7 separate regions of the Mus musculus genome follow, and regions 1, 2, 4, 5, 6 and 7 are each reported to be linked to region 3. The links are microRNA targets in miRTarBase. Many come from high-throughput screens and were not tested one by one. Region 3 holds a microRNA gene; each other region holds the end of a gene's coding sequence.

Region 1 (4,220 bases), not on the chromosome of region 3:
GGACTAGATTTTTTTTTTTTTAAATTACTCAGATGCAAGCTCTAGTTTTTACATTTCTTATAGACCATGTCTAGCAACCAGGTTTTTGTTTTTTTAAAGTTAGAAAAGAGCTCAACATTCTTGATCTGCTTTCCTGTTGAAGGCGAGGTCTAGAAGACATGAGTTTAGCATATCGTTCTAAATACATTGACATTTAAAAACATTAGATTGACATTAGATTTCTAATTGCCTAAAACTAGTACACTAGGAATGGTTTACTCATGTAGCATCATCTTTTTTTTTTTATTAACGTCTCTAAACTGTCGACCTGGCTTGAAAAAGTTAAATTTCTTCTTAAGACAGAATGGGAAAACAAAAGTAGCTTGCATGTGTTTAATTCCTTGTGTCTAGGGGAGGGGGTGTTGCAGTTTGCTGCCACAATAAAAGCACATTGCATGCAGAAAAGATTCAAGGTTAAAAAGTAATACCAGGTAAAAAGGACTAAAGTCTTGAAATTGTTATGCTAGTATTTTTTTAAGCACATTTCTGAATCATTAAATTATACTTTTTTTATAATTTTTTCTAGGTGGTTGGCAAAAAAGGGGAAAGCCATTAGGGTACAAAGACACTGGAAGACTTACTGCAGTCAGACTTGCAGCTCCTGGATAATTGCTTGATTCTCTTCGGAAACTGTTAATCTTTTATTTGTTGCCAGTACCAATAAATCATTGCTTTTGTTCAGATGGCATCACTAGTGTTTGTAGTGTAATCGTGATACATGCAGTTGTAAATAAAAGTCACTACTTTTGCCAAGCTTAAGTCTTCGTCATTCTATATAAATGCATTCTCTCTCTTTTTATTTGAAAATTTGCTAACCTCTTGTTTTAGGAGTTGTGTCTAGTATCACATTGACTAAAAGTTACTCTATCTCTAGAGGAACAGAACGCCACAGGGATTAGGAGTACTGTCTATACACATGGAGAGTTTAGACAGGATTTGAAACCTCCATGTATGTGTAATGTTTGGATGCATGGATTTGGAATGGTTAACCAAGTTCAAGTACATTCTGACTTATTTTATCAAAAAGCATTTGGGTATCTAGGCTTTACAAATTTGTTAAAAAACCCAATTTATAAACACCCAGTACTCTTACCTATCACTGGTAGTTAACAGATTTACAAATATTTTGGTTTTAGGTTAGCTTCACTGTTGATATCCTTGGGTACCTGCCTTCCAAATGGTGGGATTGTAGGCCTGTACCACTAAACCTGGTCTCATGCCAAGATTTTAACTTTCTGCATAAACCTAAACATTAGAGTCAACTATTTCCTTTAATAATGCAGGTATTAAAACTGAATTCAGAAAAATTTGGAAATTATAATACATGGAGATTATTTAATTTAAAAATTAAAAAATATGGAAAATTAGAATCAAATCTATTATCTAAATTCACCAAAACATTCACTCTATATAGATAGAGAACATGATTTAAGCTTAAAATGAGTTGTCCCAGCTGTTTGTTTGAAAGATCTTCCACAAAAGACTGGATAAGCAAATACTTGTTGTTCTAAGCTTTTAAAACATTTAATATTGGCAAATTTAATGTTTAAATACTTTATTTTGTTTTATGTTTATGTGTGTTTGGCTTCCATGTATGTGTATATTCGTGTGAGTGAGTGTGGTGCCCAGCAGAGGGGTGACAGCTGGTGGGAACTGCCATGTGGGTGATGGGAACTGAGCCCAGGCCTCTATAAGACTGCTGCTCCATCCCCACACATTAATCTTGTAATTCATTATTTTAAAAGCATATATAAGACTAATAACTTGTAATTCATTTAATACATTTGAGGGCATTCTTACCTATATAGTGCAGAGGTTTGCCTTTGGATACTAATGTACTTATACGTAATTATGAGAAAAAAAAAACCAAACTCTGGATGTTGTTGAAGTAGTGTTGAAATAGTCCTTTTCTGAAACTTGTGTCATTAAGTAATGTTTAGTTCATGTGTATGTGAGCTCAGTAACTGGTCTGTGATAATGTCTGTATTTTATGTATTTCACAGTTTGTTGACTTAAAGTGAAAGAAAGACAAAAAAAGTAAACGTTTATAATACCTGTAAACCATCCTGAAGTTGTTAATCACACCTGAAATGGAGAAGAAGATGAACATGAAAAGTTGTAGTTTATACTTAGCCTCTTTGGTAATCATTAAAGTGCCTCGTCTTGGCTGTAAATGGTCTCATCCTATTTGACTTGAAAAACGGAGTAAAAGTGGTTTCACATTTGCAAAGGACCAGACATCAAACTTTTTGTTGTTCATATGATTTCTGTAACTTTGTTGCAACATACAAACATCCCACATCATTCAAGTTATAAGTGGTGAATGCTAGTGGGAAGCTGACATGTGTCACAAGTTTTATTACAAAAAACCCAAATATGCATAGTTGAGATGTAAACCATCAAGCTAAAATGCTATTTTCTGTTAAAATAGTATATCAATATATATTTATAAATATAAATAAGTATATTTACATGTAACAATTTTCCTGAAAAGAACATGAAGAATATGTAGCCTTGGCTGTCTAATCATTAGCCATCCATTAATGCTTACTAGAAAACTAATATTTATTTTGTCAGCCATAAAAAAAACCAAGAATCTGTATGCATCTCGTATCTCACATCAGGTTGCCTAATTGAGACATACAGTGAAATGCTGTCAGCAGAAACACAGTATTGCTATAGGAAGTCTTTTCAGAGAAAGCCTAACAATAAGACTAGCACTTGTTACTTCACTCAGGTGTTCCTCTTGGTCCTTTATAAATGTATTTTGGCTATCTGCTGCCAAGTACCAAACTGCCCCATCTCAGTACATGAATGTATTGGATGGAGGTAGTCACCTAGCCTTCTGCCAACCATATTTTTCTAAACGATTAGATATGTGTAAGACGTTTTTTGCAGTGTTCATAGTTTGTGCTATTAGTGTACATTTAATACCAGCATTGCTTATGGTTGTCGTTAGTAATAAATTGAGAGTCTTGGGACCATGATGTCAGCAACGAGATACAGTCCTGTATGTGACAGAGAGTCGCACCCCTGTCAGATTTTAACAATATAGTCACCTGAACAAGACTAGCACAGTGACACCATCAGCTGACATGCCAAAATGGATTGAGGATATCTTACAAGGCCAAATCTCTAAAATAAATTTCCCAGTATTACCCAGGGAAAAAGTCTCTTGATAGGTTATCCAGTCCCTAGTGGTCAGCCCTAAATACATACAAGCAATACTAAATGGACTTGACAGGTTATATACATGCATATGTGTATATATTTTCTATTGCTGTGACAATCCCTGGCCAAGGTGTGTTATAGAAGAGTTCATTGGTACTTACTGTTTCAGAGGGTGAGTCTATGACTGTTATGTTGGGGAGCGTGGCAGAGGCAAGCAGGCATGGTCCTGGGGTGGTAGCTGAATGCTTGCTTGCAATCTGATCCAGAACTATGAGGCAAAGAGAGCCAGCTGGGCATGGTGTGGGCCTTTGCAATCGCAGCAGGAAAGAGAGGGGTTATGTTACTTTAATTACATTTTAAAATAAAAGACTGCTGATACGTACCTTATTTGAATCAATACCAATACCCTTGGTTTCTTTTTTATTACTCCAAAGACAAGTTTTGTCTATAGTTTCTTAAGTGTTGTTTATATATGAAAATCTTATTTGTCTACTCACCTCATTTGATTATCATGTTTGAGAAATATTGATCCGGGGGAAATTGGGATTTCCTCCTAAAATTTTTAGTCTCATTAATAAAATACATTTTAATATATGTTTATTTGTTTGTTTATTTATTTGAGGCAGAGTCTCACTGTGAAGGGCTGTCCTGGAACTTACTATGTAGATCAGGCTGGCCTTACAGGAGATTTTCCTGCCTCTCTGCTTCCCTAGTGCTGGGATTAAAGGCCTGAGCCACTACACCTGGCATAAGATGTATTTTGTAAAGGGAGCAAGGGGTAGTTTGTTATGGAAATTTTATTTTATTTTATTGGTAATTATTGCCCTGTAACACAGATTTAAATTACCTCAACTTTTGTGTTTCATTGTGGGAGCTTTTTGTGTTTCATGAAATTTTATAGTTTTGCAGAACACAGAAAGTCATAAGTTATGGCAAGTTTAAAGTACATTGGTGGTTTCATTAATAAAAGAATTTAGAATGGGCTCAAATGTGTGCTCAGGGACGCAGGG
Region 2 (4,220 bases), not on the chromosome of region 3:
ACACACATACATATAAAAAAAAAAGTCTTGGGGCTGGAGAGATGGCATAGCAGTTAGGAGCACTGACTGCTCTTCCCAAGGTCCTGAGTTCGAATCCCAGCAACCACATGGTGGCTCACAACCATCCATAATGAGATCTGATGCCCTCTTCTGGTGTGTCTGAAAACAGTTAAAGTGTACTCACATATAATAAATAAATAAATCTTTTTTAAAAAAGTCTTTAAGTCTTTAAAAAAAAAAGGACTGTAAAGATGATGACTCAATGATTAAGATTTCACACTGTGCATCTAGAGAGATGACTCTGCAGGTAAGAGCACTGACTACTTTTCCAGAAGTCCTGAGTTCAATTCCCAGCAACCACATGGTGGTTCATAGCCATCTGTAATGGGATCTGATGCCTTCTTTTGGTCTGTCTGAAGACAGCTACAGTACACTCATATACATAAAATAATTAAATCTTTTTTTAAAAAAGTACACACTGCTCTTCAAGAAAACCCAGGTTTGATTTCCAGTACCCATATCAGGCCTATAACCCCATCACCCTCTTGGTCTCTGATTAGTGACAAACTGGCAAGCTAGCTCAGTAGTTAAAAGAACTTAAAAGAAAAGTGGTTAAAACATTTTGATGAGACCCAGGTTCAGTTTCCGGTGCGCGCGCACACACACACACACACACACACACACACACACACACACACACACACACACACACACAGTGCTCACCACCATTTGTAACTCCAGTTTCAGGGACTCTGTCGCCCTCTTCTGGCCCCTGGGCACCAGGCCCAACATGGTACACATGTATACAAACTTCCAGGTATAACAGCACTCATGAACATATAGTAAAAATTAGTAAGTTGGGGAGGGAAACATAAAAAAGCCCTCTTCACCTGCAAATCTCTTGTAGGTGTTCCAGTGGCTCCTCACCCCCCCCCCATCTCTCACATTCAAATCTATTGTTAAATCCCCCTGTGACTAGTAAATATCTCAGACATATAGGCACTCAGTAAGAATGTAGTCTATGCCCTTCCCAAGATAGCTATCCACTACTGTGCCTTTGTAACTTGCCATCCTATGGCTGCCTTTACTTTCTGGTGTTTTCACGGTCTCATCTCTCATCTCTTAGGTAATTGCTGGCTTTAATCGCCTTCGGCAGGAACAGAGGGGCTTGGCTTCCAAAGCAGCTGAGCTGGAGATGGAATTGAATGAGCACAGGTAGGAAGGCCGCAGAGAAACAGAGTGATTGGATGGAGGCTTGTGGGGATCAGGACGCATTCTGAGGTCTTGTTCTCCTACCCTAGCCTGGTGATCGATACACTGAAGGAAGTGGATGAGACCCGCAAGTGCTACCGCATGGTTGGAGGTGTGCTGGTGGAGCGGACTGTCAAAGAAGTGCTGCCTGCCTTGGAGGGCAACAAGGAGCAGGTGAGCAAGAATTCCTCTATAGGCGTTTGGGCAGCCAAGAGGTTAAATGTAGGTGACTAGGGATTTAGGGAATTCATGTTGATGGTAGCATGCAGCCTGTTAGCTATCTACTGTGCCCTTTATACTATTACAAAGTTGAAGTCCAACTCCTTAAGTGAGGAGTTGTTGGCTGTGTGCCCTTTCCATGGGCTCTTTGATGTGGTTGAGTGGGGAGGGAATGGGTAGAGCAGTGTTTCTCACAATATAGTCTGTGGATCCCTGAGTCAGAATCTCCTGAAGAACTTGTTTAGCAGTGTTGGGCATCAGACCCAGGGCCTCATGCGCAGTAGGCTAAATACTCTTCTCATTGAGCTACACCTCCAGCCAAGGACCAGTTTAAAATGCAGCTTCTTAAGAGCTCTCGATCCACGGAACCAGACCCTTAAAGAAACCATAAGTGACCTTTTAAAGGGAGAAAGAATCCTGACTGGGGTGGCATACATTGATGTTTAACTTGCTGAGATGATGAGGCAGAGGAATCGGATTTGAAGCCTGCTTGGGCTAACTAAAAATCAATCACTTAAAAAAAAAATGAATGTGACCTAAGAGAAGAAACCATAGCATGACAAATGCTCTTTTAAGAGCAAGCAACCCACCCTCCCTGGGCAGGGACTGAGGGTGGAAAGTTGCTGGAGAGGGGACAGTAATTGTCTTAAGTGATGTAGCTGCTGGTGAGCCACTAGTGCTCCTGTGGGTATCTCCATCCATTCCCACAAGGGTGCTCCAGGTTAGACTCATGGGCCACAAAACAAAACAGAGAAATACGATTATGAGATGGGATGGGTTGGTGGCAAGTGGATGAGAGTGGGCTGTTTGATCATATGCTTTTATAACATTATCAAAGAATAATGAAAATAAGTAGCTCAGATGGTTCCCCTTTATAAGCCACTGTGTTCTTGTCTCACTGCCTCCAACTGTAGCACAGTCCGGGGCAGAGGAGGGAGACCTGCACTCCTTCTCCATCCTCTCTTTTGCCTCTTAGATACAGAAGATCATTGAGACACTGTCACAGCAGCTTCAGGCAAAGGGCAAAGAACTGAACGAATTCCGGGAAAAGCACAACATTCGTCTCATGGGGGAAGATGAGAAGCCAGCAGCCAAGGAAAACTCAGAAGGGGCTGGGGCTAAGGCCAGCTCAGCAGGGGTGTTGGTCTCTTAGGAGCTAAGGCCTCTGCGGGTTTTTTTTTTTTTACCCTGATTCCCACTTGTAATTTCTTTTTATTGTCGTTATTATTATTTCTCTGCTATTGTAATATTTTGTTTTTGTTGTTGTTGTTGATTAAATGTTTTGGTCAAATACTTAGCTATAGCCTGAACCTTTATCTCATTTAGGGCTACACCGACCTCATAGAGCTGGGTGTGGTGCCACACATGCCTTTAATAATCTTAGTGCTTGGGTGACAACAAGAGGCAGATCTCGGAGTTCCAGGCCAGCCTGGTCTACAAATCGAGTTCCCAGTAATCCAAGGCTATATATAGACACAGTGAGACCCTGTCTCAAACAAAACAAAAAAATATGATTTGCATTGTTTCTACCAGGTTAATGGCTCACTATCAGAAAGGAACCTCAGTTCGGTCTTTCCTTTGCAAATAAAGTAATCTGTTTATTTGATGCTCTTCTAAAACGGATTCAGAGGGCTGGAGAGATGGCTCAGATGGCTCAACAGTGAAGAGCTCTGTCTGCTCTTCCAGGGGGCATCTGTTTTATTATCCCCAACAACCACATGGTGGCTCACAACCATCTATAATGGGGTCTGATGCCCTCTTCTGGCACAAAGGTGTACATGCAAATAGGGCACTTATATAAGTAAAATGTATAAATCTTCTAAAGGATTCAGAGACAAAACTCTCGGATTGAAATTTAATAAGTATTTGAAGTAGGGCAATAGCTCTGATGAGATCGCTTTGTAGGTTTGCCACAACACAGAGTGCCTCCCTGCTGTTCTTTAGATGAAGAATTCCAGGATGCAAACCTGTGGGCTAGCTGTCCTGCCGTCCTCACCAAAACCCCCAACCAAATAAAGCTGGTCATTCCAAAGGCAAGTCCGATGGCCCACGCGCTTCAGTCCACGGTCTGTACTGGGGAAGTGGAACCACAGAGGCGGAGACTTGCCTGTGGGTTGAGAGCAGAAGGTGGTTACTGTGGCATTCTGCTCCGGCCTTACCCAGTACGCATGCCTGTCATCGTTCCCGTTTGATTTGTCAGCCTTTTCAGATGTTCAGTATTTATATTGTCTATTGTATTTTGTTTTTGAAACAGGGTCTCACTCTGTCACCCTGGCTAGTTTCACACTCTAGATCAAGTTGGCTGGCCTCAAAAACTACCAGAGATCTGCCTGCCTCTGCCTCTGCCTCCCAAGTGCTGGAATTAAAAGTGTGAATCACTATGCCTGGCTCTATTTTTTGTTTGTTTGTTTTTCAGCAGTCCACACACTTTTGCCTCCTGAGTAGCATACATCACCACAACCGGACTGCATTCCTTTAACTCATCAACTGATTTCTCCTCCTTTCTATCCCACCACCCCTGTTTTGTAATTTTTAGCTGTGTCTTTTTCTCCTCCCTTTCAAATGATAGCTTGGCGCTCACGGGTATCGTAGATGTAGAGATCATTGCAGATCGTATCTCTAGCTCTGGTCAGAGTTTCTCCGCCAAATAGTACAGCGAAGGGTCCCACCACTGAACAGGAATGATGGCGCAGGCTCTGGGGTCCTTGCTGCAGTCCCTGCCCACTGCTCACAAGCCTTGCAAGCTGTTC
Region 3 (4,220 bases):
AGTTCCTTAGAGGGGTTCCAAGCCCCTGCCTAAGGCTTGGACACCAAAGCTCTGAAGACCAAGCACTACAGAGTGGTCTACAGCAAACACTGACCCAGGGATCCAGCTTCTTGCTCTGCCCACTTGTGGTTTGGAGCAGGAGCCTGGGTGATGATCCACATCCTTCCTCCGCCAACAGTTCACTCATCACCTGAACCATATGCTATAGAGCAAACTCCTCCCTGGGTGAGACAGCTCAGAGGAGGAGGTCAAGCCTCCCTAGACATCCATTCTTCCGCCCTCAGACCCTGCTTCGCATCCTATTTGACAAGTTAACGTTTGCAATGTTCTGTGTCCTGTGAAGTCAGGTGGCTCACGGAAGAATGGAGACTGCACTTTCTTGACTCCAGAGGTCTCAGCCAGATGAGGGAAGCCTGCTTCCACAGCCTCATGGGCCTCTGGTGCAGCTATGGGTGGCAGGAGCTGCTGCCTAACTTGTTGGGGTGGGGGACTAGAGGAGAGGGGAGGATAGGCTTGCTCTGCACCCAGCCAGAGGTGGCAAAGGACAGCTCTACCACAGATCCTTCACCAAAGCTGTGAAATGGGCATCTGGTTCCAGTGAGATCTCCACTTACCTGAAACCCATTGGCAAGAACCCAAGCCAGACACAGCCAGGCACAGGGCTCAGTGACCCATGGGGACAAGGGACTTGATCCCTGAACAAAACCCACCTTAGGCGACAGCTTTGTTTTGCTTTAGTGGTTCCTAAGAACAAAGAACAAAACCAGACTAAACCAGTGCTTGGCTGCTCTCTCCAGTTCAGAGGAGGTATGGGCCACTGAGGTTCTCAGAGGGGCCTTACAGGGTGTGTGGTTCTTAGTCCACCTCTAAGCAAGGCCAGAGTGCTTCTGAGAGCAGGAAGGCATAGACTCAGCCATTTATTTCAAGTCTTCACAGAAATCAGGGTAACATTAAGTAGAATTAACACACTTTGATACTTGTACCATTGTGGTATACAAAGCAGATAACCATTTGCAAGTCCCCTGCAACCATCCAAATGCAGTCACTGCTACAGCCCAGGCTCTGAAAACCAATGGTTCTGTGCGGACGCTCCTCTCAGTCTGTCCTAGAGCCTTTGTCACCCAGCAGGTCTGGGTGCAGAAGCCTGGCCAGCCAGTGGGATGCTCCTTCTGGTTCCTCTGTCCACCGCTCTGCCTTGGCTGGGCTCATGTGACTGCACTGATGGCTCAGTCTCAAGCACCGTTCTCTAGACAGTGACTGAAAGAGCTTAGAGCTTGTTCTGAGACTCCGCTAGTACCAGGCTGGCTGAAACTCCACATTTGGAAGAGAGCAGAGTCCCAAGCCACACTAATTTCCCTTTACTTCCAACCTTTTTAGAATTAACATTACCTGGAGGTAGGAAGTGTGTGGAAAGTGCCTGTTCTGACACACGTTCTTCTTTGCTTTTAAGGAGCATCAAATTCAGAAGCAAACTGGAACACTAGCAAATCTGGTACTTTATTAAGACATTTTAGGCTTTCCTGCATTTTCAAAAACAGGAATGCTCTGTTGACTGAACACATCAAAAGGGCTTTGCAGAATCCTTGGGGACCAGCCACAGGAGGTGTCACATGATTCTGCAGTCTCAGAGCATGGCAGCTAGTTTTTGCAATCACAGGAAGCAGGCAACCGGCTCTCCATCTGCCTAGGGGAGGGTGTCCTTCATTGAATGACTGCCTTAAAGTCACAGCTCAATTCCAGTGTGTAGACTCAGTCTCTCTAGGACTGGGAACAAAGGCAGCTGCCAGGTGCAACAGTTTATGAGGCTCCGCCTTTTATATATGCCACGGGAGCCCAGTCTCTGGAAGCCCAAGATGGACCAACCACTGCTGTGGGCTGATGGCCTTAGCAGCCACATAATCCTCCCTTTGATGTCCAGGGTCAGTGCAGTCCTGGCCCCACCAGGGCTAGGAGAAGGTATATGAGAATCTCACTGTGATCTGTCCTGTGGAGGAAACAGCAATAAAATTTATTACCCAGTCACCACAGCCATTCCAACAGGAGTCCTCCCAGCCTCTGACCTCCACTTGAGAGGGAACTTTTCATGGGAGGACAGGGGCAACACTGAAGCCACACCTCACAATCCTGGGTCTGGGGTGCACAGTCACGGCACAGGCCATGCAGGGCTGTGAAGCCCAGAGAGGTTCAGAAAGGCTCTACAGACAAGGCCCTTCAGACAGGCATTCTCACTGCTCAAGGCAGCGGTGACATGGTGTGCTCTGCCCCAACACGTGGCAAATGCTCAGCGCCTGCCCTACCTGCTTCTAGGGAATGCAAACTTTCCAAGGTTAGCTCTGCACTCTACAAATCCCCACCTCGGGAGCACATACAGAGGGATACCACTGCTGTTGGGTCTGGTACCAGACACTCAGGCCCTTCATCTTCTTCTCCGTGGGAGGCCTGCCTCAGGCACTTACAGATGGGTAGGCTTTTTGCTCAAGGGCTCGACTCCTGTTCCTGCTGAACTGAGCCAGTGTGTGAAATGAGAACTGATATCAGCTCAGTAGGCACCGGAGGGCGGGTCCAATCACAGCTGGGCAGTGCCTCCTGGCGTGCCCTGGGCATCATCTTGCCAGCGACTGTGGAGACATGGAGACCTGGACTGCAAATACAAGAAAGAGTTCACCACGCCCAGCAGGGACAAAGAACCACACCCCCACCCATCACGTGTGGCATCAGCTGAGACAAGGTTGGCTCAGTTTCCTTGATGCACCTGGGTTTAGTTTTCTGTGACTCCCAATACACTTGACATTACAGTGAACTAATTAGCAGTAGAACTGTATTTTCTGTAGACACACTTAAGGGTGGTCAGCACGCTGTTTGCACTCTTGACAACACAGCCTTGAGGCAGGCTGGTCTCTCCTCCTCTGGAGTGACCACCAGGCAGTGGCCTCTGCCTGGCAGCTGCAAGTTAACTGTCCCCATCTCACCTTCTCTTCAGGTGCAGAACTTAGCCACTGTGAACAAAGCGGAAACCAATCACTGTTCACCAATCAGCTAAGCTCTGCACCTTGTTAGAGAGGTCATCGCCGGCCATAATTAAAGGGCTGGTGAGCATCTTCGAAGGCTGTTGGCTTCTTTTGTTTCCAAAGAGCCACAAGGCGCCTCTGTTCTCCAAACTGCAGAGAGAAAGTAGCCACGGTTCTGCAGGAGCAGCCAAGGTCATGGTTGCGTGGTAATCCCTGGCAATGTGATTTTAATCTCAAGTCACAAATCAGCATGCCAGGAACCCAAGCAGCCAGAGCAGGTGAGGGCAGCACCATGCCCAACCACTCCCATCCACATGTGCTGAGTGTCCTCCAAACCGCCTCTGAGCCCACCACGCTAGCAGTGCAGCCTGCTGTCCTTCAGCGCGCTGGCTGCACTGTATAGAGGAGCATAGGGGACTGGGAGACAAAGGACACACTTATCAGCTATGAGACCAATACCTTAGGGACCATCCTTGCTCTGAGTATGTGGCCTTTAACCCTGGGACACACCCTGTTCTCCAATTGCAGACTGAATGGGTTGGGATGTCTCTGGGCCCCTCAGACAGCAGGTGTGGTGTGTAGGGAGGGAGCATCTCTCTGGCTTGCCTGTGACCAAGCATTTGGTTGGATAAGCTGAGGCATAGCACAGAGCTCATAGGGGACCTAGCAAGTTGAGGATTTGCTCACTCAGGGGGCAAAAATACTCTTAGAAGAGTCACTAGGACCACTATGTGACTATGGCTTTCCTAAGTGAAGGCCTAGGGACCTAAAAAGGGAACAGTGGCTTTACTGTGTGACCTTCACACACCACATACCAACAATCCCTCAGCTTACAAGTTTCTAGAGAAATGTCTGCAGGAGGCAGTGAAGAGGCGCCCCGACCGACTCTGTCTATCCACACAGGCCACCGTCCTAGCTTGTAGTGTGCAGGCTTAGCAGGCTGTACCTGCTTACTCCAGCCCACTATCTCCCCTGCTTGACTGTGGCGGTCCCCAGCTCTTCTGCAACAACATGGTCATACATAGTAACATGTTTTCCCTTCATCAGTGTAGTTCTTCAGAAAAATAAACATTACACAGAAGTGGGTTTTATAAAAGTGAAATGTGAAAATGTAAATTTAATGTCTGACAATGGGTTAAGATTAGCAACACAATTCTAAATATTCATTAATTGGTAATCATAGAGAACAACAGAGTAACACAGTGATTGATG
Region 4 (4,220 bases), not on the chromosome of region 3:
TAGAGGCTCACTAACCACGCAAGAGCAGGAGCTGTGAGGAAGGAGGAAGGGAGAGGAGAGCCCAACAACCCCAGCTGGCTTGGGCATTTCGAATGGCTAGGCAGTACTGTCTATCTCAGAAGCCCCGGAGGTCCACAGAGACAGGAGAGAGAGAAAAAGAAATGGTATAATATTCTGATTTGTGTAAATAGCTCCTGCCAATAAACGGCTCATTTTTCAAAAGTTTTACTGCTTAATAAGGCAAGATGATGAAAACTTTCATTCCTCAGGAGTGCCAGATGCACAGCCTCACTGCGCTGAGAAAAAGGCCCTGCCAAGGGTGCTGCTAGGAGTAAGGCCACGGCTTTTTACATACAGCCTACTGCACCGCAGAGATGCGATTGCTTGGTTACTAGAAGGGAAAACTAGAAAGGCCTGGGCAGGAGTCTCACAGCCTTTTCTCTATGTCATGCAAAGGAGGATTTAAAGGGCTAGTTACAGATGGCTCCATGTAACGAGTCCCTTCCAGGCCCCCACCTGGGAGAGTTGTTCCTGCTCCACTCATGACAGTGACCTAACTTATACTTTACTAACTGACCATTAAAGAAAACAGTGATGAAGACCGGATGAAGACAGGAACTACCAAAAACATCTCTGGCCAGCTCCAAACAAGCTCCTTCCAAGGGGGTCTCAGCTCATTAAAAATTTTTAAAAATCTGAAGAGTGACAATTAGCCAGTTACAAGCAAGGCCAGGAGCAAACACATTTGGCCACCACAGATACTTCACAAGCATTCCAGGAAGCTTCCCTTCTCCAGACTGTAAAACCTCTGAGTTACTTCGCCTTCAAAGCTGCTAATATAAACCACACCATTCCCCACAAAACTGGATTTCTAACTTTGAAATACACACAGTTAAGCATGGTTGTTGCTGGATTCTGCAGGTGTGCGCCTCGGCCGGCTCACCCTGTCTGTGAACTTATACTGTGAACAGGAGCAATGGGTTCAGGCAGTATAAAAAGACTGTCTATGGAAAAGCAAGTTCCCGGCAGTGGCTTAGCATCTATCTGTACAGCAGGGGCGGTAAAGGACAACGATTAAGGTAGACTCTATCCCAGAAAAGAATCTACTTCCAAGCAAATAAAGGCAATACCATTACAGATTCTCTTTAATCATGCAAAGAAAGGCACAAGACAAAAGTAGAATGGTTTCAAACTGGGTGCCCACTGAAATTTAATCTTGGGAGACTTTTGAGCTATGACTTAGAAAAAAAACCCACCCAGAACCATACCCACATCATAATCAGTCTCTAAGAACTAGGGAAACTATTTTATCCCAAAATTTTTCAACTCAGGGAAGTTTTTAAAAGTCTTATTCAAAGATAGCGAAGTGAAAGGAAAAAAGACTAGGACAGGCAAATTACAAATTTCATCAATAACCAGAAATCATTTCTATGGCTCTTAGTAAGAAAACCAAGACAAGTGGCTTGGCTCTGAAGAGATACTTCCCAGCAAATATTTCCCACCTACTTTCTGAAGATGATTAAATATGGGAAAGGTTCCATAAGGTACAACAGGAAGCATCAAGTTACAGCACTGCCTGGTCAGATGAGCTGGGTCTTAAAAACCCGTTACACTACAGCTTACTCTCTCTTCTCACTCCTGTTCCCCGGCCATCGTGAAACGGATCTGAAGACAAGCATTTCTAGAGAAGGTATCTTTTTATAATTCTGTCAATACAACATTTAAAAAAAAAAAATCACCAAACTTCTACAGATAAGATTAGGCCCGAGACAAAGCATCCCTAAGTACAGAAGACAAGACACAGAGGCAGCTTTTACAACGCACGCTGTGTGCGCTGGGCTGAGATGGACCCCAGTCACTGCAGCACTCTGGTTTCTCAGAGCCTCTGGAACCTTCCGCAGCAGGCTGCAGGACGTGGTCATTTCTGTTGGCACAAAGAGAACTGCTATGCACGGGGTTTCCAGAGCTCAAATGCCTACTGCAATTTAAAACTCACAGAAAACTCTCAGGGTAAAAACATCTCCATGGTCTTGATTTTATTCACACTATTTATCCAAGTTTTTTTTTTTTTTTTTGCTACAGTAAAATAAAAACTCAAAAAATAACCAACTACACATGATGCACAGTGTCCATGGGAAAGTCCTGGTAGAGTGGGAGGGAACCAGCGCTGCATGGTACAACTGGCTGCCACCTGTCATTTAGCAGAAGGTGTCTTGCCACTGAGACTGGACTCAAAAGTGCAAAAGGAAAGCATTTTAAAAACCAAATCTAGAATTCCACTTCGTATAGTGACTCAGTTTTATTTACGCTAGTAACTAGGTAGAAAGTATACATGTGTGTCTGTGGTACAGTCAATGTGTCTTAACTCCTCCACTTCAATCTCTACAAAGTCACCGCCAAGTGATCAAGGATGGCAAACACAGGGCTTATAACCAAAAGGTATAAAAAAGTCTGCAGTCTTGCCCTAAGATACAAAAACTGAATTTTAAACAATGTCAAAACATACATGATTTTAACAGTATATGAAAAGAAGTCACACATCAAATCAAGTACAAAAATATCCAAACCACCTGTTACCAACTGCACTGTTTCCATTATTCTGCACAGTATTTAACATAGAATTTAGCAGTTTCCAAAATATTCATTATTTCAGTTGAAGTACTGCCACCTTGCAGAACAGTGAAGCAGCAGGCAGAGTGACACTGCTTTTAGTGTTTTATACAAAACCTTCTCCCTAGGAATTAAGGGAAAAATCCCTCCCCTAGGCTTTTTTTTTTTTTTTTAAATAACTAACCTTGTGCCTAGAAATATAGAAGAATTCATTTACTGTTTAACAGGGCAAAGTATACATCTTGATAGTGGTCATCCATTAGGGATTAAAAAAATTGTAATTTTAAATGGCATTTCTTTGACTGATAATTGTAAGGAATTGTCAATATGCACACAGATTAGTGTTTTGTCTTGGGGAAGAAACCCTGAAGTCTGCAAGACAGTATGAATTTAATTCACCTTCACTGTTTAACTTGCAAAAACCATTGTGAATCAAAGGTTGCTAAAAGGTTTTTAAAGGAGAGTAAAGTTGCTCTTGGTAGAGCTGGCTGGCCCAGCGCCACGTGAGCACAGTGCGTTTAATAACTCGCCCACTAAGGGGCAGGTGGCTTAACTGTGAGAACTTCTCAGCCTTACAATCAGCAGCTCTGACTCTCCTCGGCATGCAAGGCGCTCGCACACACTAAAGGGCTGAGCGCCCAGCACTGGCCGACTCCTCCATACAGAACCAGCAGGGAAGACTCAGCAAGAACTGCATCTTTCTGATCTTCAAGCACTGAGCCACACCTGAAAGTTCTAAAATAGAAAAGAAGTTTTAATTCAGTTTCTGTCTGCTAAGAGCAAGGCAGCAAACACATCTCTCAACCCTTTAGGAAAAGACAGAGCAGAACAAAATGCAATAGATCTTCAGATTATAAACACGAGTATATTTCATAGTCCACCATCCTGGAAATGGTTAGGGCGTCCGTGGTGTGAGATCTCAGTCTAAAGGCTGTGGGTCCGCAATGGGCATGGTGTGCAGGACTTCATCCAAGAGCTGCAGAGCTCGGTGAAGGTGAATCTCAATCCAGCACGGGGTTTCCTTGATGCTCTGCCTGGGGTAGTCTGGGCCCCAGCCCTTCACAAAGCTCATCCTGAGAATGCACAATCGCCGGAGGTCATCCACACCGATGCCAGCAGCAGCAGACAGACCTAACGGAAAGAAGCACAAGTGTGGAGGCTGTGAGGGCGCAGGTCCTCTCTTCCCATCCTCCCCAGTCTGCCTTCTTTGCTTATTTCCTCTCAGCATACAACTTCTCTGTCAAAAATGTCAACAGTAACCGCAGATCTAAACCTTATCACGGGTAAGTGAAAATTTGGTTATGACAGTTTATATATGGACTTTAACTACGGGAGGGCAAGTAAATTTCCACATGCCACCAATAATTCCCCTACTCTTCTCTTCAGAAGTAGGGTATAGGAGCAAAACCAACTTCTCTGTAAGAGGCAGGGCCTGTCCCCGGTTGTAAGAAGCCCAGCCTCTACCGGCCAGGCTGGACTGCAGCAGGACTGACTAATCAGCAGAGCCATGCACTCAGCCTCCCTCACACAGGTCAGCTGACTTTTGTCTGTCTCTAAGTTCTGAGAGAATATGGAGGGGGAAAAGCATGGATAAAAATCAGAAATTCAAT
Region 5 (4,220 bases), not on the chromosome of region 3:
TGCCGGTGTTGGTTAGCAGAGGCGCAGAGCAGAACGGTAGTGGAAGGTGCTCGACATCCCTAGGAAGTCGTACAGCACTCATCGCGAGGTGTGTGCTTAGTTAGGAAGTTTCCCACAGTGGCGAGGGCTGCGCACAGCCCCAGGGGTGAGGCGGGTTTGGTGGGGGTGACCGGGCGGTGGAGTGGCTTCCCCGACGTTCCTCCCTCCCGGCCCTCGCACTCCTCTCTCTCCCCAGGCCGGCACCCCGTGCCCTCCCGCTGCCAGGCCCCCTCCTGTCAGGGAGGACAGTGTGCAATAAGCTCCTCCGCCCGCAGGTGTGTCCGCCCTCTCCCGCGGGAGGAGAGGGCCGAGGTGGCGGGCCGGCCGGGGTGGGGGGTGGGCGGGCGCCGGCGCCACCGGGAGCCGAGGAGCAGCCGAGCCCGGGCCGGGGCGCCAGGCCGGGAGGGGCCTGCGGGCGGAGGGGCGGGGCTGAGGCCGGGCCGGGCCGGGGGCGGAGCCTCGAGCCCCGCCCCTCCCCTCCCCTCCCGCCTGCAGCGGCCCCGGGCGGCCCCGTGGAAACCCAGGCCCTGGTCCCTCGTGTCTCGCCAGGCTTCGTGAGCTTCGACAACCCGGCCAGCGCACAGACCGCCATCCAGGCCATGAACGGCTTCCAGATAGGCATGAAGAGGCTCAAGGTGCAGCTGAAGCGGCCCAAAGACGCCAATCGCCCGTACTGAGCGCCGGCGGGAGCGTCCCCCGGGGGAGACCAGGACTCGCACAGGTAACCATGGCGGCTGGGCTTAGGGACGGGAGGTTTGGATGGACCCGTCGCCTTCTGAGGCCTTCCTGGGCCCGGCCCTCACCTGTGCCTTGGACCCGATGCGCCCTGATCAACCTACTCCTGGCTCAAGGTCCGCATCACAGGCATAGAACTAAGGCCATCCTAGCAGAACCAGGATTGGCCGTCCCCTCCGCCTCCAGGCCAAAAGGGGTAGAAGTGAGGAACCTCTGAGAAAGAGAGCAGCGCCTGGGGCCTGCGCCTTCAGACTCTCATTGTAGCCCAGTTAGCCAGGGACCCTAGGTGGGCAGATGGCAAGTTCAGGCCTTGCGGGGAGGAAGAGCCTCAGGTTAAGCCTCCTCCCAGTCTCCCTGGCTCTTGCATGCCCAGGTCTATTGGAAGCGAGCTTCCTCCTTGACTCCTTCCCCAGTAGCTGCCTTAGCTTAGCCAGGACAGGAGGGGCAGGTATTTTTCAAAGGAACATTAGCAAGAGGAAACACAGCGGGAGGACACACAGTGTTGGAAGTTTGGGAACCAGACCTGGTCTGCCTAGGCTTGACCTCTATTTAGCCTTGCTTGACAACTTGAGGCAGTTAGTCCCACTTTTGGGGTTAAGTGTTCTCCCAGGCAGAGCAGATGACTCCAAAAGGAACTGAGGGAATGCTCCAGGCCATCAAGTCCACCTCTGCCTGTCCCCTGATGTTACTCACACCAGTCAGCTTAGTCACGGCCAGAGATGAAGGCCACATTGGGCCTCTTCTTGCTCAGGCTGTTCCGCCCAGCCCTCCTTTTATTTAGTGCCTCCGGCACTGTGTTGGATACACAGAGTTGGAGCTAGATTTCCTGGTAAGTAGGTAGGTACAGGGATGGTAGCTGAACTGAAGATTTCGAGGCCAGCCTGAGTTGATATTAGAGATGAGTGGCCTCCCTCTGGGGTAAGGTCAGGGGCAACATGTGTGAGGAGCAAGCAGAGGGCTAAGGGTGTTACAGGGAGGGCTGAGCCGAGGGAGCAACCCAGGGGAGAGGACAGCTACTGCCTGGAGCCTGCAGACCACTGCATGGGCTTTGTCCTCCTCTGAAATGGGAAGGGGTATTAGAGAGCTGGGGTAGTCTGTTATTAGGTTGATGCTAAGCTGTAAGGGCTGCCACAGAGATAGATCTGTTGTATTGACCTTAGTCCGGGGCAGATCAGACAGTGTGAACGTTTAGACACATTTTGAAGGTAGAGCCAAAGATGCTTCCTGACACATTAGAAGGTATGGAAGGGAGAGAGGTTACACCCGGGATTCAGCCATAGTGACAGGAGAGCAGAGAGTCTGTAAGCAAGACTGGGCATGTTAGAGTTAAGGCCTGCAAGTGGAAGTTCATGGCCAGGAGCATGGGAGGAGTCTCCAGGTTCTGGTCTCTCCTATAATGGCACACTTCCCTACAGAGGTATAGATGCCAGAAGACCCTCCTGTACCAGCTGAAGCAGGGGTCTTTTCCCTCTGGGTGAACATTAGCCCAGTCAGTAATCCTGAAAGAGCAAAGCTGACTCTGGCCTCCTTACTCCCCAGCCCTGCCTATTTCTGCCTTATGTGTAGATTGGGGCATGGCGGTTCACAGACTCTGAGTACCATTTTGTGCTAGGCATTAGACTCAGGTCTGGGGATACAGAGATGAGTGGGTTACATCTCAGAGGAATAGACACATAGGCACCAAGATGCAGCCACCAGATGGATGTGCTCCCAGAGAGGAGCGCCTCAGTCAGGAAGCTCCAAGCTGCATGCTAGGCTTCTACTTCCTCACTAAGGAAACCATGATTTAGTAGGCGATCAGATGATCTGAAGGAGCATGTAGGTATTTTGGCTAGCAGCTCCTATCCTACCCTATGGCTCAAGCAAGGGTAATACCTCTAAGTCAGAAATTCCTAGAGGAAGGGTAGAGGAAGGCAAGTGTGCTGTGTGAGGCATGAAATAAGAGGGCTACAGGGTAGATCCAGTTGCCACTCAGCCTTGGGAGGCCACGAAGATGACCATCACAGACTTTCGTATACCAGGCATTGTTCTGACAAGTAATGTTGGTAACAAGTAGCCTATCAGGGGGGAAGTGTCAGAATTGCTACCTCACAGATGAGCACAGTGAGCAATGAAACCAAAATTTGAAGCCAGGAACCTAGTTTCCTTTCAAGTAAGGCAAATGGGAGACTACTGCCCTCCTTCATCACGGCTCTGCTCACCCACAGTACCCAGCTTCTTTGGAGCCAGCTTTCTCTGAACCTCTTCCCTAGGGTGGGCTGTCTTAAGCTGTGATAGGACATAACTCCTATGATCAAGTTTCCGTTTAGTTTCCATTCAGATAGCATTTAATGATACTGCCTCTGCAACCCAAGAGTGTGGAAGCTGTGGTAGGAGGGTTCTAAGAGAAGATGGAGCTACTCAAGGCAGCTGAGGATCTGCCAACACACACACACACACACACACACACACACACACAAGGATGGAATTCAAAAGAATGTGGTATATCATAAGTCAATAGGGGGTGTTGATAAGTGATGACATATGTAAGCTGTAGCTATTCCTTATCAGGAGAGGGAAGCCTGAGTAGAGGCTTGAGAGACCAGGTGAAGCTGGGAGCAGCTGGGTAGTGAGGTGACGACTTATACTAGTAGTAAGGTGGGATGTGCAAGCGGGCTTGATGGTCCAAGGCCAAGTCGGAGCCACTTTGAGACATATCTGGGGAAGAAAGATTCAGGCAGAGTAGCTAGGTAACATGGCTGGGGTTGGTTCCACAGACTGAGGCCCCAGTAGGGTAGGGTTGAGGTTGGGGACAACAAGGCTCTTCTCCATTGATGGTGTCCTGTCTCACTGGCTGTTTGGGCCTTGTGTGTGCCCAGCCTGGGCAAAGCTAGACTATAGCTTGGGGTCTGAGTCATCTATGGCTAGAGTCTAGCTATTTTAGATGGTATATATGAAATGGTCTTGCCTGGTTCGGGTCAGGACCCTATTATCACCTCCAGGGCTCTGTGCTCTGTGAGCTACCCCTCCTAGGGGGTGGATACACAGGAGACAGTACTTTGTATCTGGTGTAGTATAGCAGAAATGAGGGCTGCATGAGAGTTCCCTGATGGAGTTTTGAAAAGAGAGGCTGTATGCATTCTTGTCTGAGTCCACATGCCAAGGATAATGTCTGGCACCAAGGAACAGCTGGCCAGAAGCAGGGGAGACAGGAAGAGCAGAGTGGGGATAGCAAGTTTTGGCTCTAGAGCCAGTGTGTCTTCTCACTGTAGTTGCCAGAGCTGATTTCCAATGGCAATATACTCCTTAGTTCTTAGGCCTCTCCTCATGCCAAAAGGACGCTATAGCCAAGCACTCTAGCGGTGAGGGGACATTGAAGGAGCTTCTCTGAGGGGCTGTAAGTGCCGAGGAGGATGACAATCAGGATACAGTGGTATAGGAAAGTAAGATCTGATGCTGGAATAGCA
Region 6 (4,220 bases), not on the chromosome of region 3:
CTCTGTCCAGGGAGGCACGGCAACCTGGGGTGCAGGAGCGCTGTGGGTAAGAGGGTGCTGAGGAGGTGGCTAGCCTCAAGGCCTGGAGAAAAGGCTGACAGACCAGAGCTCCTCACCGTGAAGGTCTCATAGCTACCAGCAGAGGGCAGTCTAAACATGGTTTCTGATCAAGAGGGAGGCTCTTGGTGCTAGTCTGTTCATTTCAGGGGTTTACAGGGAAACGCTGGGAAACTAGATGGCAGCCAGAGGAAGGCAGTTAGAAGAACAGGCTTAAGGTACAAAGAGTGCAGGGAATCTAAGGTGAGACCTGAGTCTCAGCTCTGACGTCATAGATTCATACAGCCTTAGCACAGCCTTAGCCTCCTGAATGTCAGCCTCCCCATCTGTCAAGTGGGAGTAACAGATCTCCTGTCAGAAACACTGCCTTCACTGTTGAGGCTAACGAGTGTCGGGTTACCCAGTCCCATTTTTATTCGGTACAAGAATCTCTGCACAGCCTCCTAAATCAGCAGCGCTAACAGTTTGACCGAGGCTCCTGGCTATCACTGTACCAGTGCTCAAACTCAGATCCTTGTTTCCGGGTACTGCTCCGTCTTTAATTCAGCCTACTGCTGTTCCTACCTCTCCACTTGCAGTACATAGCTCCTGGGTAGTGTGCGTGCTTGCTAGTGGGAAGAGTGGACCCAGCAGCACTGCATGGGACTGATCATACATGTTCATTTCCTCTGATCACGCTAGATCCAAGGCTCGCGACACTAAGGTATTGATAGAAGACACAGATGACGAAGCTAACACTTGAATTCGCTGAAGTCTAGAGTAACATCCTTGGTTTTCTACTCTACAATCCTTTCCTCGACCAACGCAACCTCCAGCACCTTTTTCCAGCTGAGAACAGGAGAAAACAGAACACGTTCCCGGGCTCTTCAGATCGGGTCCTATGGACTCCGAGCAAGCTCACTGTGTTTCTTTTCTTTTCTTCTGGTTTAATCTTCATTTTCTATTTTTAAAACAAATACTTCATTTTGCCAATCAGAAGATGTTTTAAGGAACAAACACCTACTATCTTACGGATTGTTTACAATCACAAGGATACAGAAGCCCATCAGGATGAAGAGAAGCTTTGGAAGGAACGTCTGATGCACAGCCCAGAGAGCTCAGCTTCGCCGGCCGGTTTTGACTGTCTGAAACCGGACACCGGTTTTTAAATTTTCTGTCAGTTTCTATGGAGAGTTTTTCCCTTCCTTCATAGCCAGTGCAGAGACACTGGCAGCACTTGCAGGGAAAGTGCAGCTTGGAGCAGCACCTCCTCCACAAAGCTACTTTTAATTCGATGTGACTTTTCTCATCTGGGGAGGGCTTCGGGTGGGTGGGGAATATGCTGTATTCGTTACATACAGTTTCTCATTATTTATGAAACTTAACCATAAATGAATGCTACTCCTGTGAAGGGAGGCAGGAGGAACTAAGGCTCACTGGCACTGCGGAGGGTCAACCCCACACACCTCTTTCAGGAAACAACTAGTTGATTTTTTTCCCCTCATTTGTTTTAACTTTAAACCAAAGTTTTATTGCTAAATTTTAAGTTGCTGCTCTAGAGTCCCAAGCATCACTGTCATGACCAGGCAGGCATCCCCCTTGCATCCCAGTGGTGGAAATCCAGAGAAAAGGCTCTGACTGTTGTTTCTCTAGGAACAGGTGCAGGATACAGTCACCCAAATACCAGTCACAAAAATGACGGTTTGCCACGTGCTTCTGCATGTAGAATTGTAATCTTTACCAGTGGAAAGACAGGCCTGTTTCAGGCCCCTCACACTTTATTAGACATTTCCCCTTCTGGTCTCACCTTCTTCAGCCAGAATTTGATCAAATTAAAAGTCTTTTGTGGGGACTGTATTTCTGAGCATCTAGAACAAATCCTTTATATTCATCGACACAAAAGATCTTGGTGGCTATTTTTAAACCCAGCTGTATTAAAAGGTGATGTTGAATTTTACGACACCCCTACCATGGCCTGCTTTTAAATTCGGGGCTTCTAAACCTGGTTGTACTTTTTAAATTATATTTCTTAGAAAATTCAGGATATAAATACCTACTTTATTCTCTATCTCACCCCCTTTCTTCATAAATTCTCTAGAGAAGCCTAAAAACATACAGCGCTTGACTGTCTTGAAAATGGTTGGTTTCATATCTGGTACTCATCAGCTTGTCACTGGGAATCTAGATCGTTGGTAGTAGTGACTGCCCAGCATTCTTGAGACCCTTGATTTTCTCTCCAGCATGGGTCAGGGTAGAGAAACAGCCATTATTCAGTAAAATTAATATAAATACCAGGAAAAGGTAAATAAATGGCCCCACCCTTCAGATCTAGATAAAAGTCCCACGTAGGAGGGCCATGAACGTGTGCCCTTGTCAGATGAACTTTAGACTAAGAAACCGGTGACTAGGGAAACAGCAGTAACACTTACATTGTTTTAAAACTTGGCTACTGCCCCTTAGCTCGTGCTTGTCATTAGCTCCTCCTGCATATCAAACCCTTACTCACTAAAGTTACAGCACTGCTAAAATCCTACTGATTAACTCACCAGCTTCCGTTTACAAAGTTTCTTCCATTTTTATTCTGACAAAGTTCCATTTTTTTCCTCCTTTCTCGATTGAGATTTTTAACAACACCTTGCCCCCATCCCCCACCCCAAAAAAGCTCACTCAATGTTGTAGGTTCTGTTGCTTTTTGTGTTTTGCCAAGCATGTCCCTTGCCCCAAAACTAAAGAGCAAATGTTTATTTAAAGTAAAAACAAAACTATAAATAAATTGTATACTTTATAATAATCAGTGGTAACAATTTAGAGACCCTGGCAGATTAAAGGTTGCATTATTTTTATTTAGATTTTTTTCCCTTACTATTTTGTACTTTAAAGCTGGGGATAGATTTCACTGGTTTCTGAGGTAACAGCAGTAACGATTAGGAATATATAGAAAAGTTCAGTGACCAGTCATTTCTTGTACAAATAAAATCAGTGGTACTGTGTATCCAGAGCCCTGTGAATTGTCAGCTTCTTTCTCTGGTAGTGAGCTGAGTGGCGGCACACACTCCTCACAGTTGACTCCTGATGTTCCAGCTCTCTGATGTCTTTATGTCAGGTAACACAGAGCCAGTTTGGTCTTTCTCCCCCTGCCAGGATCCCAGGCCCTAATCAGTATTATTTCTTTCATAAACAGTAAGTGATGGAGTATATTCCTTTTCTGATATCTGTCCTGTTGACCACTCAGACGTAAGTTTACAAGCTGTGCGGCTTACATGGCAGACGCTCCAACGTGTATTCAGATGCTCTGGCTGCATCCCTTCCCAGCTCTAAAGAGATTTCTCCATCAAAAGACTTTAGGAAACGACATATGCATTAATTATTTTCCTTTGAAAAAGGCAATGTGCATTTTTCTTTCCTCAGTTTCATCTGCCCCAGGCACTGTGAGCAGTGTCCTGCTAATGTGCTCTTGGATAATCCTGTACCCTGAAACTCTCGATGGAACACACCAATGTCATGTCACATAAACCAGAGGTAACACTTATCTGATTGCAGCCTTAGAACTCTTAATTTTAGTTTTATTTGAAAAGGACCCCATTTTTAATAGCGCTTGAAATACCCCCAAAAGAAATGAAAAAGAGACTAAAGTCCACTTTTCACTTTATACTCATGCAGAAAGCAGTGTAGTTGGAAGAGATAGCCGTTTGTTGTTGGCAAATTAGCCTATACCGCAGCTGCCTCGACAGTGGGGTGTTGACATGCCCTCCCACACCGAGGCAGTGGCGGGATCAGCGATGAAGTCAGCCCCATAGTTGGGTGTAATGGCCACGTGCAGGCTTTCTGTCTCCAGCCCCCTGTATTACACTCCTTAAACAGACTGTTTAGATTCAGGGGACACAGTGAGTGCCAGTGGCTCAGCAAGAACCCAGGTGACCTCTTAGAGGAGGCCCTCCCTCCTGGGAGCCATGACTCCCCATGTGCTAGATGAGCTCTCATGGGCGGTGTCTTTCCACCATGCTTCCCTGTTGTCTGAGCAGGTGAACCTAAGGCAAGGCAAGAGCAGAGCTGAGGGAGGCACACTGACAGGGAGTCAGAGTGTAGTTGATGGAGAGGACTGGGTGGGGCTGTGGCAGCAGGAGCAGGGCACTGGTAAATCCTGTGACTCGGGCTGTGACTTCCTGTCACTTGCTTTATTTACG
Region 7 (4,220 bases), not on the chromosome of region 3:
GCGCTATCACATCAAGCTCCATATAGGTTCCAAATGTCCTCCTCGTGCTTGGTGAGCAGGGCTGCCCCAGGTCCCCCTCCACAGTCCCCACCTCTTGTGTCTACCCCTTACGCTTACACCATGGCCAAGGAAACATTTCCATGAATGGGATTTAGAAACAGTGTAATCACAGTGGCCAGAGAAGTCCCCAGCCCTACGGGAAGTCCTACTCCATGCTGGGCTTTTTGTCTTCTGTTCCCCCTTATTCTTTGCAACTCTCCCCAGAAGGCCGCCCCGTTCCTGTCCCTAAGGCTGTCTGTGTGCCGTCTTTCTTACAGGAAGCCCAGAGGAGAAGGCAAAAAGTGCCGCAAGGTTTATGGGATGGAAAACAGGGACATGTGGTGCACCGCCTGCCGCTGGAAGAAGGCCTGCCAGCGGTTCATTGACTGAGCCATTCCTGCCTCTCCTTCCAAAGGAAGCTACTCAAGGCCCAGGGAAGGCCCTGCCTGGAATCCCAGGAATATAATTCCTTGGTGGAATTAAAGCAAAACAAAAACAAAAACAAAAACAAAAACACAGCAAAAAATCAGCACTGCACTGCTCTGAGAACCAGGCGAGAGCGCCAAGGAGGACCTTCCTTCGAAGGAAAAGCCCGCTTCCTTAGCTCTCAGTCTGGTCTTAAAGCTGGTCTTCTGTAGCAGCTTAGCCAACCAGGCCCATTTCACCTAGAGAGAAGGCACATTTTGATAAGCTTTCTGAACTCTGGCATTTTCGAGGGTTTTTGACACTGAAAACAATATGCCCATAAGCTACACAATATACCCATAAGCTACACAGTCTGAGGTAGCATTTGTATAAAGGATAGTACCTACCTTGTGAATAGGCATCTCTCTGTTTTTCCGTGCGACTCCTTGGATCAGTCTGATCATGATGTATTTCAAAAAAGAGTTTTTCTATGTCTGTTTTGTTTTCAAGAAGGACCCCAAGTGGAACCATTGTAAAGATGTTAGCTTGGAGGCCCTGAGTAACTTACATAAGGCCAAAAGTGATTGACAGTGAGTGCGAGTCACCTCAGCCATCACCTGAGGTCAGGACACCAAGAGGCACTGCAGAAAGCATCTGAAAATCGTCCTTGGATCCCATGTGAGTGGTGGCACCACTAAGTCTCTGCCTGCCATGGCTCAGACGAGAGCTGGCGCTAGTAGCAATCTGGTAAACCTTGATGCTGCTTTCAGGGATATCACACACACTGCAGCCTGGATAGTGTGTCCTGCTTGGTTCTGCCAAGACCATAGCCAGGACTCTGGGTTAGCATTCTGCTCTCCAACCCCGCCCAGGTAGAAAACTCCAGACTGGCCTGCAGGTTTGCTTCCAGCAGAGCATAGCTGTGGGAAAGATCCACTAGGGCATCAAGCCAACTTCCATTGTGAGTGCACTTTTCTAGATGGCGAGGGGATGGCTAGGGGATGAGTTAGTGGACTCGGTGACGTATATGGATAATGGAACGCTAAACTTTGTTGTCTTATAGGAATATTGAAACTATGAATTAAGAATTTGCTCAGAAACTAACTTACAGGATGCCCAAAGGCAGATGCATCTTGGTATAGGACTCTCTCCATTGAGTAGGGCCAAGGCTTAGGCTGGGTTCCAGCCATTGGAACCTGATGTACTTGGCTGTTGGAAGGGTGGAGCTTGGAGCAGCTATCAAGCCTTGTAAGGACTTATTCTGTCTGCCCTGCTTAAGAGAGGAGTGTCCTGTACCTATGCATGGTAAGAGCACCTTATAGGAGCCACTAGGTAGGGATGGGGAACATGGTGTCAGCAATATGAATGTTAAATGAACTTGCACAGAGGAAAACTTAATATATGTTTAAAGATTGTACATAGTGCTTTTTTACAGAGTAGAGAAGGCATGTAGGCGTCTGAGACACCTCTTTGTATATAAGGGGTGTATATGGAGGCTCTACAGCGGAACACCCTTAACTGGTGCGTTCATGTATTTTGGCAATTTTATTTTTTAAATTCATGTGGCTTTTTTACCACGGAAATCAAGGAAAACGGGAAAGAGATGCTGATCTTTTCCTTTGGATACTTAAAAGGAAAACAAAACACTTACTTCAAGAGAAAAGAGAAAGCTTTCTCTGATTTCCCTGTAGGTTGATAACCAACATCAGCTATACCACCTGTTCCAGATGCTTTTACCTGCAACCAGGAAACAACTTTTTGCTTTTAAAGTCCAGAGCTAGATTTCTTTCCCCTGGGCATGTCCTCTCCTTATCTCCTGTAGCCTCACTCCCTGAAATGGTGTTCTAGCTGCTCCAAGAGGCCCTGAGCAACGTGGAGATTGAGACATCAACTGTTTGGTCAAGTTCACCATGTGCTTAAATAACAGATGGATCCTAGGCTAGAGGGTTTTCTCCTCAGCAAAGCTCCCTTAATTTTTAAAATCTCAGATGAAGACTTTAATCAAAACATTAAAGTGATGTGAAATTCAATCCACCTTCTCTTGAAGAACTTGGAGGTGAAGGAATGCTGTCGTCTGTGTGAGAGAGAGCAGTCCTTAGGTGCTGAGCTGTCGCCCCCAGAAACACAGCCTAAGGGCAGGTCTGAGCCCGCTTAGCTGCATATTGTCAGCACAATCGTGACACCAAATGCACCTGACCTGAGTCCCTCGTTTTCTCAGAAACCTCCATCGTGCCAGCTCGTGTGCATCCCCAGCCCACCTAGGGCCCTCATCTCCAGGCCAGCCTTAGGCACTGAACATTTCCTTATCTGGCTTCCAAGGTGCAGGCAAATCCTGAGTGCAGCTCTGGACACATGCCCATTCCCTGTGTGGAAGGGTGTAATGCCAGGGACCGGAAGCTCTGAATTGCAACATACAGTTAACTGATTATATGAGTTACTTTTTGTGTGAGTTACATTTCTTAAGTAGTTATTTTGTTATTTGGGGACCCAAACAAAGTGCCAAATGAAGCCTGACTTTTCATTTCATGCCATGTCCATGAAACTAAGTTCTTTTTGTGTCTTCATTTTGTGGAGAAACAGAAAGCATGAGAGTTGGTGAGCTGGCTGCTAGCCTGAGGCTCTGTGCACCCCAGGGCTTCCAGCCCTGTCTGTCAAAGGAGCAGTGATGTAATGAATTCTTGTCCATGGAAATGTCTAGTTCTTCTTCTTCCATGATGAAAAAGGTTTCTCATTTCTCCCGGAAAAAGCATGTCACAGTGACTAGCAGGACATTCTCCAGCCAGCTAGGAAGCAATGTGTGCAACAGGCAATAGTTTCCAGCCTTAGCCTTCCTGGAATATGGACACTTATTTTGTGAAAATCTGTGAGATAACGTGGAGAAACCCCCAGGTAGCATATGTGTCAAGGGGGCAGTGCGGGAGACCTGCACACCCCTATCTTCTGCTCATGTTCTTGGGCTGCTCAGCTAGGACTCCTCCATGTCTGCTGTAGATGTCTGACACAAGACAGGAGCTGCTTCGGCCAGGAACTATCCATCAGGCTCACCTGCCACCTTATGTCTGGGAAGTTAGGTTCTCTGGATTAGCAAAAGCTAGCGCCAGGAAGAAGACAGTGGGTTTCCAAACCAGAGTGGACCTCTCGTGCACGTTGATAGTACCATGTCCAGGAGGCTCCCTTATGAACCTCCCATGACCAAGCTATAAAGGACGATCATCTCTAGAGAAAAGCATTACTGTTGAGCTCTCCAAAAATTCCTTCAGACTTCATGTATGTTGGAAAAATTATTTGAAGCCAAATTGTTCCCCATTGCAATTGAAGATGACAAGATTTGGAGTCTGCCATCTCTGGTATCCAAGAACAAGTACGTCACACTTTGCCAGAAGCCCTGGGCTTAAAGTGAGTAGTGAGCCCCTATAAAAGAGTCTGTTTCATCTCTCACTTCAGCTGCCCTGCAAGACAAAGGTGGCATTCACCGGAGAAGGTTCTGAGAAAAGAGGTGAGAACTGTACATACAAGAATCTGTTGAGCATAGCAGCAGAATACTGTAAATACTACTCATTTCCTCAGGGAGACAAGGATGCTGTGGGAAGAGATCTGGAGAACCCCGAGACCAGGAGGATTTTTATCTCCTCAAGTCTTTTCTTGTCAGAACAAGTTTTTCTTTATGTAACTCTCCGTGTCATTTCAAAACAAATCCGTGTTCAGCTGGACAGGCAGACGACTTCCATGAGGTGTGGCAGAGGGACTGTCTGTTCGTAGCTGCCCTAAAGCTGATT

Evidence for each region. Region 3 holds the annotated microRNA mmu-miR-24-3p (UGGCUCAGUUCAGCAGGAACAG, at 2,491-2,512, opposite strand). A microRNA usually pairs through its seed, bases 2 to 8, with sites in the 3' UTR of a target mRNA and lowers its output. Matches are read on the target gene's strand: a 7mer-m8 pairs with bases 2 to 8, a 7mer-A1 pairs with bases 2 to 7 and ends in A, and an 8mer does both.
Region 1: miRTarBase lists Txnl1 as a target of mmu-miR-24-3p. Seed matches in the 3' UTR shown: 7mer-m8 at 1,714-1,720.
Region 2: miRTarBase lists Klhdc9 as a target of mmu-miR-24-3p. Seed matches in the 3' UTR shown: 7mer-A1 at 3,193-3,199, 7mer-A1 at 3,121-3,127 and 8mer at 3,112-3,119.
Region 4: miRTarBase lists Smad4 as a target of mmu-miR-24-3p. The part of its 3' UTR that is shown has no 7-base or 8-base seed match.
Region 5: miRTarBase lists Celf4 as a target of mmu-miR-24-3p. The part of its 3' UTR that is shown has no 7-base or 8-base seed match.
Region 6: miRTarBase lists Xpr1 as a target of mmu-miR-24-3p. The part of its 3' UTR that is shown has no 7-base or 8-base seed match.
Region 7: miRTarBase lists Zfp704 as a target of mmu-miR-24-3p. Seed matches in the 3' UTR shown: 7mer-m8 at 2,586-2,592.

Annotation. Positions count from the first base shown.
Region 1 is chr18:63,660,678-63,664,897 of GRCm38, reverse strand. Txnl1 (thioredoxin-like 1) reads left to right here. Exons shown (of 8, transcript NM_016792.4): 8 at 566-2,097. The coding sequence ends at 595. Among named protein-coding and RNA genes, the nearest start is that of Txnl1, 30 kb to the left of the region's middle.
Region 2 is chr1:171,355,404-171,359,623 of GRCm38, forward strand. Klhdc9 (kelch domain containing 9) reads right to left here. Exons shown (of 4, transcript NM_001033039.2): 3 at 4,052-4,220; 4 at 3,046-3,577. The coding sequence ends at 3,411. It overlaps Pfdn2 (prefoldin 2), which reads left to right. Exons shown (of 4, transcript NM_011070.4): 2 at 1,127-1,215; 3 at 1,302-1,425; 4 at 2,447-3,851. The coding sequence ends at 2,623. Among named protein-coding and RNA genes, the nearest start is that of Klhdc9, 3.3 kb to the right of the region's middle.
Region 3 is chr13:63,299,543-63,303,762 of GRCm38, reverse strand. It overlaps Mir24-1 (microRNA 24-1), which reads right to left and starts at 2,555; the gene lies at 2,488-2,555. It overlaps Aopep (aminopeptidase O), which reads right to left. Exons shown (of 16, transcript NM_001289926.1): 16 at 886-4,220. Mir23b (microRNA 23b) reads right to left here and starts at 3,279; the gene lies at 3,206-3,279. It overlaps Mir27b (microRNA 27b), which reads right to left and starts at 3,051; the gene lies at 2,979-3,051. It also overlaps Mir3074-1 and a transcript of Fancc not described here.
Region 4 is chr18:73,636,729-73,640,948 of GRCm38, forward strand. Smad4 (SMAD family member 4) reads right to left here. Exons shown (of 12, transcript NM_008540.3): 12 at 1-3,741. The coding sequence ends at 3,530. Among named protein-coding and RNA genes, the nearest start is that of Smad4, 65 kb to the right of the region's middle.
Region 5 is chr18:25,483,334-25,487,553 of GRCm38, reverse strand. It overlaps Celf4 (CUGBP, Elav-like family member 4), which reads left to right. Exons shown (of 13, transcript NM_001146293.2): 12 at 589-760. The coding sequence ends at 716. Among named protein-coding and RNA genes, the nearest start is that of Gm32825, 20 kb to the left of the region's middle.
Region 6 is chr1:155,277,589-155,281,808 of GRCm38, reverse strand. It overlaps Xpr1 (xenotropic and polytropic retrovirus receptor 1), which reads left to right. Exons shown (of 15, transcript NM_011273.2): 15 at 739-4,220. The coding sequence ends at 799. Among named protein-coding and RNA genes, the nearest start is that of BC034090, 35 kb to the right of the region's middle.
Region 7 is chr3:9,434,996-9,439,215 of GRCm38, reverse strand. It overlaps Zfp704 (zinc finger protein 704), which reads left to right. Exons shown (of 9, transcript NM_133218.2): 9 at 318-4,220. The coding sequence ends at 429. C030034L19Rik (RIKEN cDNA C030034L19 gene) reads right to left here. Exons shown (of 4, transcript NR_160691.1): 4 at 1,983-4,220. Among named protein-coding and RNA genes, the nearest start is that of C030034L19Rik, 34 kb to the right of the region's middle.